Linked DNA regions of Cricetulus griseus. The protein of the gene in region 2 interacts with the protein of the main gene of each other region in a pairwise test. Links are inferred from orthologs where the notes say so. Each region holds a gene or a part of one and is shown on either strand. Other genes may lie near its edges.

Evidence for each region.
Region 1: the proteins of Lin7a (region 2) and Mpp5 interact in binary tests that used the Homo sapiens proteins (3 or more experiments, as listed by UniProt). The two-hybrid records come from large-scale screens. The link is inferred for Cricetulus griseus from reciprocal best matches to the Homo sapiens genes LIN7A and PALS1.
Region 3: the proteins of Lin7a (region 2) and Mpp2 interact in binary tests that used the Homo sapiens proteins (3 or more experiments, as listed by UniProt). The two-hybrid records come from large-scale screens. The link is inferred for Cricetulus griseus from reciprocal best matches to the Homo sapiens genes LIN7A and MPP2.

Annotation. Positions count from the first base shown.
Region 1 is NC_048598.1:124,804,321-124,808,387, forward strand, and holds part of Mpp5 (MAGUK p55 subfamily member 5), read right to left. Parts: intron 1,596-4,067; coding exon 1,419-1,595; 3' UTR 1-1,418. UniProt on the Homo sapiens protein: Plays a role in tight junction biogenesis and in the establishment of cell polarity in epithelial cells.
Region 2 is NW_023276806.1:147,813,451-147,818,143, reverse strand, and holds the start of Lin7a (protein lin-7 homolog A), read left to right. Parts: upstream 1-1,542; coding exon 1,543-1,624; intron 1,625-4,693. UniProt on the Homo sapiens protein: Plays a role in establishing and maintaining the asymmetric distribution of channels and receptors at the plasma membrane of polarized cells.
Region 3 is NC_048600.1:116,034,282-116,038,722, reverse strand, and holds the end of Mpp2 (MAGUK p55 subfamily member 2), read right to left. Parts: intron 4,219-4,441; coding exon of another isoform or gene 4,162-4,218; coding exon 4,030-4,161; intron 3,918-4,029; coding exon 3,812-3,917; intron 3,727-3,811; coding exon 3,658-3,726; intron 3,433-3,657; coding exon 3,271-3,432; intron 2,503-3,270; coding exon 2,300-2,502; intron 1,958-2,299; coding exon 1,829-1,957; intron 876-1,828; coding exon 699-875; downstream 1-698. UniProt on the Homo sapiens protein: Postsynaptic MAGUK scaffold protein that links CADM1 cell adhesion molecules to core components of the postsynaptic density. In CA1 pyramidal neurons, required for synaptic KCNN2-containing channel function and long-term potentiation expression.

The DNA.
Region 1 (4,067 bases), on a different chromosome or scaffold from region 2:
GAAATGCTGTAGCTAATTAAGATCAAGACATTCACATTTGAGGTTCGTTGTTACACATTACAGTTTCCTTAAAGGCTTGAAAAGACTACAAGTTAACTTGCATGCAGACTTGTAGACTCTGCATTTAAAGCTGTAGTTGTAGAAACGGTACAAAAATTGTATTAGTGCCAACATTTAAGATTTAGCAAGCTGTTGTACTCCGGTCCCAAGGTAGACCATGTTAGGACAAAAACTTGTCTGTAGATGCTTAAATAAACTTTCCTCCATTGTCATTTTCTAAATGCTCAATGACTCTTAAGTCTTCCTTCTGATCTTAAAGTTGATTGTCATGGTATTCCCTCAGTGTATATGTGTATAGAAATTTGTTCCAATGCTGAAGACAGCTATTTATTAGTCTATTAAATATCAGTATACAGTACAGCAGATTTCCAGTTTGATACTTACATACGTAGCAGTCATAGATAAAATTCTGTACTCTGATTAAAAAATGCAGAAACTGTCAAATGTGGTCATCTTTCCATGGAAATAAAAACTATTTCCATCACAAGGAAGAAATTTCAAAAGTCAACACAGTTCATACTATCACAATTTACTAAAAGAATTAGAAAATTCTATCTTTAAAAATGTCAGCATCTTTTGTACACTTTTAACCACACTAGAGGCTGCTGAGGGCATTCTCATCCATGAAGTCCGAACTAAAAAGTTGGTTCTTTTTTTTATTTTTATTTTTTTAAGACAGGGTTTCTCTGTGTAACCCTGGTGGTACTACAACTCAGAGGTCCACCTGCCTCTGCCTCCTGAATGCTGGGATTTAAAGGCATGCCCTGCCAGGCCCAGCAAAGTTGGAACTTCTGATGGAATGTTTTTTCAGAATGAAAAGACATACAAATTTACACTTTAAAAAAGTCACTTCCAAACTAAAGCGGCACTTTTTTCCCAAGAAAACTAAATCAATTGTTTAAGAAAATACTGTTATTCCCAGTGCACAGAAGCACAGCCCCTTCTCCCAATAATCGCACAAAGTCATTTAAGTGTTAAATAATGTTAATATTTATAACTCTGTGAGACATGGAGTATTATGTATATACATACATGTTTTTTCATTGACATCTGACTGAGAGGCAAAGAGTTGGGAAGGTGAAAACAAAAGGTTTCTCCAGGATAAATCAGAAATGCTCTGAAGAAAGTTCCCATTTTAAATCTCCAAACAAGCCAAGGATCCCTAAAGCCATGCCCAGAAAACAAGTTTTGTATACAAACCTCCTAAGGGACCTTTCTCACTAGTTTGGGATCTACAAATAGGTGAGCTGCTTATTCTGCCTCCTTCAACCTTATTCTCAGCATTGAGGCCATCTTCCTGTTGGTGGTTTGCCAAATAAAGTTCAACATGATGACATGGGATAAAACAGCTGTTTCCTTCACCTTAGCCAAGTAGATGGCACCCACTGAGGTTCAGTGTCCAGTTTGTTAATGAGCCTAAGCAATTCTTGATAGGCTTTATCAAGATCTGAATTCACAATTGCAGTGTCAAAGTAGTGGCCATTGTTTTGTTCCATCTCTCTAGTCTTCTCAATGATCTCCCTTAACTCTTCAGGCTGCAATGAAAAAAATAAAAACTGTGAGGTCATACAGAATACAGAATGAGTCAGGAGTGTCACTACATGGCTTTCCTTTTGTCTGTGGTAGACCCAAGAGCTGCCTGGGCCACCTTGGCATCAGTACTTTAGAATTCCTGTTTGAATCCTGGTTTATATCACTTCATGTATTTCCATTTTTAGGTTTGAAGAACATGGGCGATTACTCTGAATTCCCTAAACATGTTCATTTTCAAACATTTTATGACATAATAACCTGTATCCAAAAGTAACATTGGCGGCTGGAGAGATGGTTCAACAGTTAAGAGCACTACTTGTTCCTGCAGAGGACCCAGACTCAGGTCTCATATGACATTTCAAAACCATGGGTAGCTCTGTTGTCCCTTCTGACCTCGTAGGGGACCATAGGCATCCGATACAGACATAAATGCAGGCAAAACACCCATACACGTAAAAAATAATAAATCTTTAAAAAAAATAGCAACAACGTGTATAATATGGAGTCCAACTTTAAGACTAGAGTAAGTGCTCTAAAACATTCTTTACTCGAGCACTTGCTTCTGCTGGGCTTGCTGGCACACACCTTTAATCTCAGCATTATGGAGCAGAGAAGGGTGCGTTTGAGGGCAGCCTGGTCTACATAGTTCCAAACCACCCAGGGCTAAAGAGTGAGACCTTTTCTCAAAGACAACAACAAAAATGCCTTTATGTGTGTGGCAAATTTAGGTAGAATTAACATTATGGGAGAAGAAAAATATTAATATATTGAGTTATCTTTTGCTAAGAAAATCTAATAACACTGGGGGAGGTATTCCACTTAATACACTTTAAAACTCAGTTTTCAATGTACAAAAGATACTTTTTTCTTTTCTTTCTGAGACAGGATCTGGCTGTGTATCCCCAGGCTGGCCTTGAACTCTTTGCTACATCTAGTGCGGGATAACAAGTGTATACCACCACTCTGGGCTCTCCTAAGGAAAACTGTCCTTAACTTTTTTTCTTTTCCTTTTTCTGATGCAGTGTTTCTCTACATGGTCTGGTTATCCTAAAATTTCCTATGCAGACTAGGCGGGTATGGAACTCACAGACATCCACTTACCTTTGCCTCCTGAGTGCTAGTATTAAAGGTGTGTGATGTCAAGACTGGCCCTACAAAGGACAGTTTAAGATGCAAGAGTATCCCACCAGAGTCTGGGGAATAATATAAAATGGGCTACTTTAAAATGCTGAGTAAAGGAAATGATATTTAATGGAAACAAGCCAGTGACAAGGCTATCAGCAAAAATTATCCAGAATCCTATAATAATCAGGCTCACGGTCAAGAAATGAAAACTACCCCAAACCACACTTATCAGACAAGATGGCTAATAAACTTCAGGCCAAATGTTGAAGTCACACATCACTGTATTGGGCCCACAAAATGACTTCCACTTAACTGTAACAGGAAACAGTAAAATCATGGCAACTCTTCCACATCTGATTTCCATTTTGAAATGCTGTGATTGGGTACCCAAGATGCTTTGTTCACAGCAGACTTTATCATCATAACACAACACTATGACATTTTTATAAAACTTGTGTATTCAAAGTTTGAGATTAGTTGTTAACAAACTAAAGCATTACTTCATCTTTTACAGCATTTACTACATTATATCTGAATTTCTTGTTCAAATTATAGACCATGATTAGATAAAATGTTTTGCCTAAAAATTTTATGAACTAAAAAAATTAACTTCTCATCAAAACCTGTCATCTATCACTTCATATCATCTACTCTTAAAGTCCCCTCCCCAAATCTAGGATAGATTCCACAACCAAGAGTACAAGGCACTCACTAATGGTAAGTAACACCGTTACTACTAAGATTGGTGTTTACCTACTAGTTATATCATGTGATAAAGTAACACAAGACTGGTCTACATAGTTTCAAGTCACCAAGGGCTTCACCATGAGACCCTGTCTGGAAGATAACACGCATACATAGAAAATACATACATACAAATGTAAGTGAAATATACCGCCCTCTAGCCAACAAGAGCCGAGCAGACACTTTTACAAGTGTGCATGGACATTAAGAGTGGGTGGTGGACCATAAAAGAAAATTCAATACATTTCAAAAGATTAACATCCCTTGGGATCCATTCTCTGGTAATGATGGAACTGTACTTCAGTAATGTATTCTTTAAAATCACCAAATAGGTGAAAATTAACATTTCTAAATAACCCATGAATTAAAGATAAAAATGACAACGGAAAGAATATTTAAATAGAAAAGACAAGAATGATAGAAACTCTCAGGTTTTCTAAAGTGTTTTGGTAATTCTGTTCAGTCTTGCTATCAGTTTCTAATCAATTACTCAATTTCTACAGAAAAGCCTGATGAGATTATTTTTCATCTCCTCTGGGAAAGTTAACAGTTTTCTTGAGATATAATTCATACACCATACAATTTATCAATTTAAAATATATGAT
Region 2 (4,693 bases):
TATATACATATACATATATATCCCTAAAAACATAAATATAACATGCTCAGTCCATATGATGTTACTAGCATGCTTATAATTTGGGAGCACATCCCTTTTGACAGGCCCATCAACAGCTCATCAATTGCAGAATAGACTCAGTTTCCTCTGATTACCAGGTCACTGTAATTGGTCCCCTTGTTTGGCAGGTAAGGAGACTGGGGATTACAAGAGCCTGTGAGTTTGGCAGATAATATGCGTGATTAAGAGTTGAATTTCATGATCAAATTTCTTCCTCAAATCACACCCTCTGTGTGTCACTAAGGACTTGGTGAATGGATAGATAGCCAATCATCTTCCACTATTTCAATCAAGTCTACTGCTTTCTCTTTATTTAATTAGAAGAACATCACATCGATTATAAGCAAATACTTTTTTGTAACCCATCACCCTCTAGGAGTGTCTTGGTAGTCACCAGAATTATTTAACTGTCATAGGGATGAAGAGAAAGCATTGTCACCCAGGTGCTGTTCCCATTATTCCCAGAGGAGGTTTACCCATGCTTCCTCATGGTTTGATAAGGAGATAAGGCTTGGTGGAAATTTAGTGAAAGTTGGGATTAAAGGGTTCACAGTCAGTATTTGAAGGCTCCAGTAACTGAATCCTGGTCAACTGACTCTCAAATAAGCCCTTTAATATTATCCTAGCCTAATCCAGAAGCTACAGGGAATGAATGAACCTAGAATGTAGTAAATGGCATATAATACTCTTTTTTCAATTCTTGTCACATATGCTAATTAATCAATAAGTAACACCCCTGAATACATGCTTCTTCTAGATTAATGTGGAAAGGTCCTAGATATTTTTCAATGACAGAAGCCCCTTTCTAATTTTAAAACATTATAAGGAAGTTGCTTGTAAAGGCAAATTATTTCCTAAACAATATACCCAGCTCCTAAATGAACACTTACCTATGGAAACCTGACCTTCTGTCAGTTACCTCGTACTGTTAGGAGTGGACATTCTAAGAAAGCTTTCAACAGAAATTAACAGCAACTACAATGATAGAGCACCACCTCCCATTGCCAGAGGCGTTTTCTTTCTAAAGGGATGTGGGATTAATAGGCTGAAATTTTCCTTACTCTAAAAATAAATAAATGAATAAATAAATAAATAAACCTCTGTCCCCAACTCTCTTCTGTTTTCGTGTCCTCTGTGTACAAGTGCATTCTGACCATTACGCTTGGGTGGAAAGTTGAAAGACAGCTAACCAGCTACACCCAGCCAGAGCTCATGGGTGGAGGAGCAAAGTTCTAGGGCTGAGCTTTCCTTTCTCAGCGCCTGGCCATGCAGGCGCTCGTGGATATCTGCCCTGCTCGGCGCTGCGTCTGAAGATTCGCCTCAGCAGAACAGTTGAGTCTCCCATTTGGCTACCAACCCACCCGAGCTTTCTTCTCCTCCATCGCCACCTTCCTGCCTCCCCCACCTCCCCCTCCTTTCCGTCTTCCCTCTCCACCCCCGCCCCCAATCTCCTCCTCTTTTTCTCACTACAAGCGGTTGCTGATGCTGAAGCTGAGCGTCACTTCGGCTCCCACGGCAGACATGGCGACATTGACAGTGGTCCAGCCGCTTACTCTGGACAGAGGTAAGGGAGCGGCTGGTCCATCAGGCCACTGAGTCCGCACTGCTTTTCCCTTCCGCCCTGCCCAGTCCCACTGGGACAGCAGGATGCGCTCGGCCAGGGGCAGCTGGGCGAGGAGATCAGCCCAGGAGGCTTTCGCGCCTGGAGCAGGACACTTTCTCTCCTCGCCTGGTTCCTGCCGCTTCTTCTCATTGCGCTCGCCGGGGCGTGGATGCCTAGCCAGGGCTCCAATGCTCCAGCCGCCAGACCTAGTCCCTCGCTGGGTCGCCTCCCGGCCCCGGCTTTGTTGGAGAGGTTCTGTGGGAACCGCTGAGCGCTGGTGACTGGAGGCTGGAGAGGGGCAGAGAAAGCTCTCCCAGTCAGAGCAGCGAAGGGACTAGTGGGGAAGCCAGCTAACAACTGCCGGCCCAGAGACCCGGAGGGAGGAAGTTTGTCCCTGTGATGGAGACAGGCTCTATGCAGCTGCGGTGACTGGGAGATCGCCCCGGAGCGGTAGTGCATTTGGCAGGGTAGCTGGGTGCACCGCTGCTGGGCTGCCCAAGCCAGGGCGCTGCCCTCGGGCGAAAGGGCAGAGCGGAATCCGGTTAGCTTAGCTGGCTAGGGAACGCCACATCACGGAGGCGAGCTGGCTTGGCTTCAGCTCCCTGTCCGGAGCTGCTGCTTGGGTCGCTGGGTCTCGGTGCTCCCTTCGCCTGCAGTTCCAGGGCGGTAGCAACTCCTGTCTCCTGCTCCAAACCAACCTTTTTCTTTACCAGACAAGTGCACCTCCGTGCCTGGGCTGCAGACAGAACAGGGACAAAGCGCAGGCTGGGTAACAGTTTAAGTTCTATCCTGTGACCTGTGCGTCCTACTCTTTGGCTGCATGGGAAACAGCCAGCGTTTGCTACCTCCTCAAACCTTCCCAAGCCTGGATACTGGTTTCTCCTCTAGGATCTGGGCCTGCCTAGTGCACCCAAATGGTTCCTGTGAGTAGGAGTTTCCTTTCTCCCTTCCCACGTCCAGGTACTAGGGCTCCAGAGTCCCTGCTCTGCAGAAAGAGGGCACCTCTAGCTCCTGTCCTCAGCCGCAGGGCTTAGGACCCTGGGCAGACATTTGAAAATGCTGTGCTCAGAAGAAAATGATTTAGTCCTTGTCCCTCTAAAATTTCTCTTTCGGGGGGATTAAACTAGCAGGGCCCAGCAAGGCAAAAAAAGCATCCTGCTGGGGAGCATAGTGGCAAAGCTGGTAAACTCTGTTTGTGGTTCTTAATTTGGAGAGATCTTTGGTGACTTTAACTCAATCTGCTAGTGCCAGAACAGATATTATGTGGTGCCCATAGCAACCTTACCTGGGGTAAGAGAAGAAAAATAACTGATTTTTATATTGAGAAATGTTCATTTACAAACTCGCAAATTAGTAACAGTAAAAAGCTCAGAAACCTGTCATATAATCTATGGTTTTACCCCCAATATCATCCGTACTAAGCAGGATAATTCCATTGCTGATAAGAGCCAAGCAGATGGCAAGCTATTAAAAACGATGGGCTTCCCAAGTATTTCTGTTTTAATGTGATGAGCTCTTATATTGTCCCATTACTAAATTACTGTCATCAACCATCCCAAGTTTAACTCTGTTAAACATCCCAAGTTCTAACTACGTTAGAAAAGCAATCACTCCAAGAAGACCACATAACCAAGGAAGTTTATATCCCACTACGGCTATTTCTAATACAATTATCACACTTCGGGAAACAGGGTATCTTATCCTTTAGGTGCCCCAGCCAATTGTTAGAGGAGGTATTAAGCAGACAGAGATGAAAAGCACATTCTTGTTTCTATTCAGATGGTACATGGCAGTACTCCAGACAGTAACCCAGGAAGCAAAGCTAGGTTAACTATGTGAATATCTGAATTAATGAACCCTCTACCCTTACTGGCTTGGGCTGCTTGATGAGTGAGAAGACTATCAATAAAGTACCTTCCCTCTACTTCATTGTGATGGTACCTTAGTATGATCCAGTAGGTAATTTTATGATTCAAATTGATGGAATGTGGAATTCTAAACTTTGCCCTTGAAAAGGGCTTAACTCAGTTGGTCATTAGGAATTTGGGGTTGATGATTCAATATTGTGCAGTTTTACCCTAACTTAGGTTCCCGTGTTTGGCCACCTACTGGAGAGTAGATCACACCAAGCTCCAGGGTCCCATTTGGTACACTATAGATTTGCCCTCCCAAAGCCTTTATAAGTGGTTGCTACTTTTGTCTCCCCAATGGGTGTAGCTCCTTGAGAGATGAGGCGATTTCTGAACCTATCTTTGAATTCCTCATAGTCCCATATTTGTGGTGGGAATCTAAAATTAATGTAAATTAGTGTTAGTGAAGCAAAGCCTGAAGTAAACCAAGAACTATTGATTATAGGGATGTCATACCAAACCGAGATACAGCTGGTGTGAAATGCAGTCACAGCCCTGCAGAGCTAGCAAGGTTGGTAGAGCACACATAGGGAAGTTGTTAGGAACCTTTCCCCTGTTCACTCATGCATTTCTGTCAGCAACAGTTGCTTACTAAGGCTTTGCCTTTTATTGATTTTATTTTCAAGATCTGGTTTCTCTGAGTAGTCCTGACTGTCCTGGAAGTTGCTTTATAGAACAGGCTGGCCTTGAACTGGCAAATCTGCCTGCCTCAGCCTCCTGAGTGCTGGAATTAAAAATGTGTACCATCAGGCACCAGGCAGGATGTCAGCTGGTGAACAACACAGAAGAAGGAAATAAGACTCTTGTCAGGGACAACCAAGTATATCTCAGCAAATCGTAAGACACATGCTATGATTTTAGGGCTCCTGGTTCATTTCTAGTGTTTTCATTCATTCAAATATAAAACACAAAAGAAATGAAGAAAGATGGTTTGGTTTTAAGGCTATACCTCCTCTAAATAGTAGATTTAATTCTTGCTTAGTGTCCTACAACAGCATTATACAAATATACATACATACATAAGGCATGGGTGTGTGCACGCGCACGCGCGCGCGCGCGCACACACACACACACACACACACACACACACACACACACACACACACACAAACTGAATCTC
Region 3 (4,441 bases), on a different chromosome or scaffold from region 2:
TGGGGCTAAGCCTACTGCCACTGCCAGTTGCACTGTTTGGGGAGCAGGGCTTATAAAAGAGGGACACATTAAGAAAGTCTGTGGAGAGACTTTGGCAGTGAGAAGCTAGGAATAAGGGAGGGACCAGGCTATGTTTGCTCCGAGGAGCTGAGACCGGTCACCAGCTACAACAACTGGCTCTCGACGGGGCTCCCCCAGCATCTAAAATGGTCCAGACTAACACTACTGCCCAGGTCTGCCCAGCTACCAGTGTCTTAGTACCTGGCCACATGAGAACAGCCCACAGCTGTTCCAAGGACTATAGTAAGGAGTGAGAGGAGCCAGGGAACAGGGTGGGTGTGGCCAGCCCAGAGGAGAAAAGGCTGGCAGGGTCCTAGACCTACTGACCACAAGGCCCCAGCAGCTCTGCTCATCCCTGGTCTGAGCATTACAGGAGTGATTCTGAGCTGTTCCTGGACACAGCATGGTCCATACAGAGGGATGTCTGGTGGCCAGTGGACATCGGGAGTGGGCAGCACCTGGGTACAGAGGTACCCTATGAACACCTACCTCCCTGGCAGTGCACACCTCTGTACTGAAGCCTGCTGGGAACTGAGATCCAGGGAAAACCAGAGATGGGGGGTGAAGATCGTTATCAGGGTAGGGGAGTGTCACAGGTGGGGTGAAGGATGGATTCCCCACCAGGCAGGGAACGAGGCTCAGTACACCCAGCTGACGGGCACCCACTGGGGCTCTGTTCGAAGCTTCTCCATGGCAGCCTGGAGCTCACGGAAGGTCCTCTCGAGGTTGCTGTTGACCAGGCTGAGGTCGAAGTAGTGGCCATATCCCCTCTGGATTCGGCTGCTCTCTTCCACTGTCCGTCTCAGATCTGCCTCCTGTTCGGCACAAGGGGCTTCAGTCAGTGTCTCCAGCTTGATTCCATCACTAGAGAAATCTACAACCTGCCTACCTCACCCCCAAAGCCCAGCCACAGAGTAGAGATTCCCTTGTGCCTCACAAGGCTGTGCTTCTGCACCCAGCCAGGATGGATGGATGGATGGACGGATGGGAGGAAGGAAGGAAAGAAGGAAGGAAGGAGGGAAGGAGGGAAGGAGGGAGGAAAAGATGCTGTAACACATAGAGCACTAACCGTTAAGCCACCCATGGGTTCTTCACTACAGCTCCAATAATAACACAAAGCTCCCATACAAAGAGGTCACAGTGAGCCGATGGCTCGGGGATCTGCCTGACTCCTGCCAGTGCATCCTTTAGTCTGACCAAGTCCCTTGCTATAGCTTTGAGGTGGCATCAGAACTTACCTGGTACCAGGATGATGCCACAAATGAACAAACTAATTCCCACCCCAGACCTAAAGGAGGCTTGCTGGGAAGGAAGTGGACATCAGGCATAATGGACATCTGAGGGCAGCCATGTCCCAGAGGCTCTGGGTGCATCTGTTGCCAGGGCCATGGCACCCAGAGTTGACATCAGAGGATGCAAGCCCAACCTAGACCACCTCTGTGGAGCAGAGGAGCTGTAGTAACAAGAGTGGGGCAGGGGGAGCCTTGAGCTCAGAGCTGGGCAAACCCTACTCCTGGGGGAATGCTGTGCCAACATTCAAGTTTCCTCTAGAAGCTTCCGCTGGCCATCCCTGTCCTGCAGATCTTCTACTGGCCATGCGTAGTAGGCCTAGAGTCAAAGTTCTGTGTCCCTGGCTCTGTCTGAGAGGCAGGGCACTGCATTCCTCTCTCAGGCCTTCCTCTCTTCAGATACACAAATCACTGACTCTCTGGGCTCCACCACCCCAGGCAACCACCCAGCCCTCCCACCGCTACTCAGATCCACTCACCGTCAGCTGTTTAGTGGACACTCCGCTCTCCAGTGCAGCCCGGTTCATGGCTCGCAGGGTCTCAAAGTCAGGGGCCTCAATGAATACCACATAAGGGACAAACTCGGCTGTCCTCAGGACCTTCACCGCCTGCAGGGAAAGAGTAGGCTGGGAGAACACCTTTATATGGGCTAGGAACAGGAAGGATATGGGGTGACAGGGTGGGCACCTGAGAGTGGGTGCTTGGGGTGCTTGGGGTTCTGGGACCTGGGTCATGAGAATGACAAGTAGCGGGCAGGCGGCTGGAGACTAACTGAAGGAGGCTAGGGCGGGGGGTGGAGGGGTGGGGGGGTCTGGGGATCTGGAAAAGGGCTGGGTCCTTAGCAGTAGTCGAGGGGTACATGAACCCTAGGAGACATACAGGGGTTGCTGAGGGGAGCAGAGTGTGGTAGAGGACACTGACAAACATGAAAGGGAAGGGCTAGACAGTACCTGGGGGTTGACATCCAGCACGCACACCTTGCCGGAGGCAACCACGCCCCGGATGGAGTCGATACGTGTGCCATACAGGTTGCCCTCATACTCGCCATGTTCCAGGTAGCGCCCAGCGCGAATGTCAGACTCCATCTCCCCACGAGACACAAAGCTGTACGCCTGCCCTTCCCTCTCTGTGTCCTTGGGCCTCCGGGATGTGTCTGGAGGGGAAGCACGGATAACCGGTGAGTCAGCCACCCCACCTCAGATATGGGTATGTGGGTTCTGTGTGGGGTGCAAGAACTCAGCTCTGGAGACAACATAGCCTGCTCTCGGTCTTCTCAGAACCTCGTGTCTTCATACACACCTATTCTCACCTTCTCCACGGGCATACGCGCGCGCGCACACACACACACACACACACACACACACACACAATGCACGCGACACACTTGTCTGGGAGGACCTTCGGGGAACAGCTTGCCCGATGCCATGTACACTGATGCTAGCAGAGGCTCAGGGAGGGCGATGAGCAGCCCAAAGCCACATTGCAAGGGTCAAGAAATCTGGGCTTAGCGTTCTTGCTCCTGCCTCCAGCAACCATCACCACCTTCACCTCCTGTGGTCCCAACACTTAGATTAGAAGCCCTGTCTGCCACAGGCCACACACAGCTCAAACCTGTCTCGCCAGACATCATGGTAGACACTCACTTTTTTTTTTTTTTAACCCTTTTTTGCAAGTAAAACTTGAGAGGAGAAATCCTGAAATAAAGCCAGCCCCCTTTCACCGAATCATGAGCCTGCAGTTCCCCTTATTCACCCACAGAGGGCGCACACAGCTCTCCCCGCCAAAGGAACCACCTTGACCTGGTGTCCCTGAAGAAGCTCGCTCAGTTCTGCTCAGTGCTGCTCAGCAACCCTCCACCACCATCCCTCCGTTCTCCTCTCCCATCCACGCTCGCACCTCCCGCTCCCTGGCCCCCACTCACAGGGCACTGTGGTGCCGTAGCGGTCTGGATCCCACAGAATGAGCTTGTTTTTCAGGCTGCGCCGGCCCACACCCTGCGCGCCAATCAGCACCAGGGTTTTCCGGCGGAATGGGGGCATGCGGGCCACCTCCTCATAAATGAGCAGCTCGTGGCGGTCAAACTCTGGGCACAGAGAGATGGCACTGTTCACCAGGCTGCCCCGTGGGGGAGGAAAGGGGCTCTCAGAATGCATTAAGGGTAAGTGTGCTTGAGGCCTGGGAAACAGAGGAATTGGGCAAGCCTAGGAACGAGGCTGGCAGTATCTGAGGCAGAGTAGACCCACAGGTCACTTGTGAGGAAGAGAGAGATACGACATATTAGACAACTTGGACAGGAATTAATACCCACCTGCATTCTTGGTAGTCAAATACATCATTCGCTTCTTTTTCTTTCCTGAAAGGCTGCCACATAGGGTCCCTGGCCACAAGGAAACAAGCGAGTGAGCAAACTGGGCCATGCCAGGTCTTAAATTGGGGCCTGAGGTGGGGAAGGGGGCTCCTACCTGAGGTCGGGGTCAGCTCCAGGTCCCGCTTCACAAATGCTTTCCGCTTCTCCTCCAGCAACTGGCTGGGTATGAGACCAGCACTGCCCCCTTCTACGTGGCATGCCTGAAACGGCACACGCCAAAGACCTACCTGGGTAAGAGGGCCATTCCCGGCACCCCGCCTCTTCTGCCGCACTACGGTACTTGGAGACACTGTAGGAGTGCCCAGGGCTCACCTGCCACCAATTGGCGTCATCTTGGTTTACAATCTGGAGCAAGTCCCCAGCGTTGAAGCGAAGGCCTGCTTCCTTGCAGGGGATGAGGCTGTCTCGGGCAGGGTCATAATCGAAGTGGCATTTAACAAATACCTGAGCCCCAGGGATTTGGGAAGAGTCAAGGGAATGAACGGAGAGCGCATCCACCCTCTTGCTTGGCAGACAGTACAGCCCTCCCTGCCACTCTCCCTCTGTGGAGGAGAGATGCCTCCAGGCCTGCCTACCCTGCCCTCCTGGTATTTCTCTTGGCAAACTGGAGTGAAGAGACTTAGATTTAGCAGTTGAGAAACTGCCCAAGGCTGGGTCAGGCCCCAGGAAAAAGGAAACAGATACCCAGGTAGGGGTCACTGACACCTAACCCTGTATTCTCCCC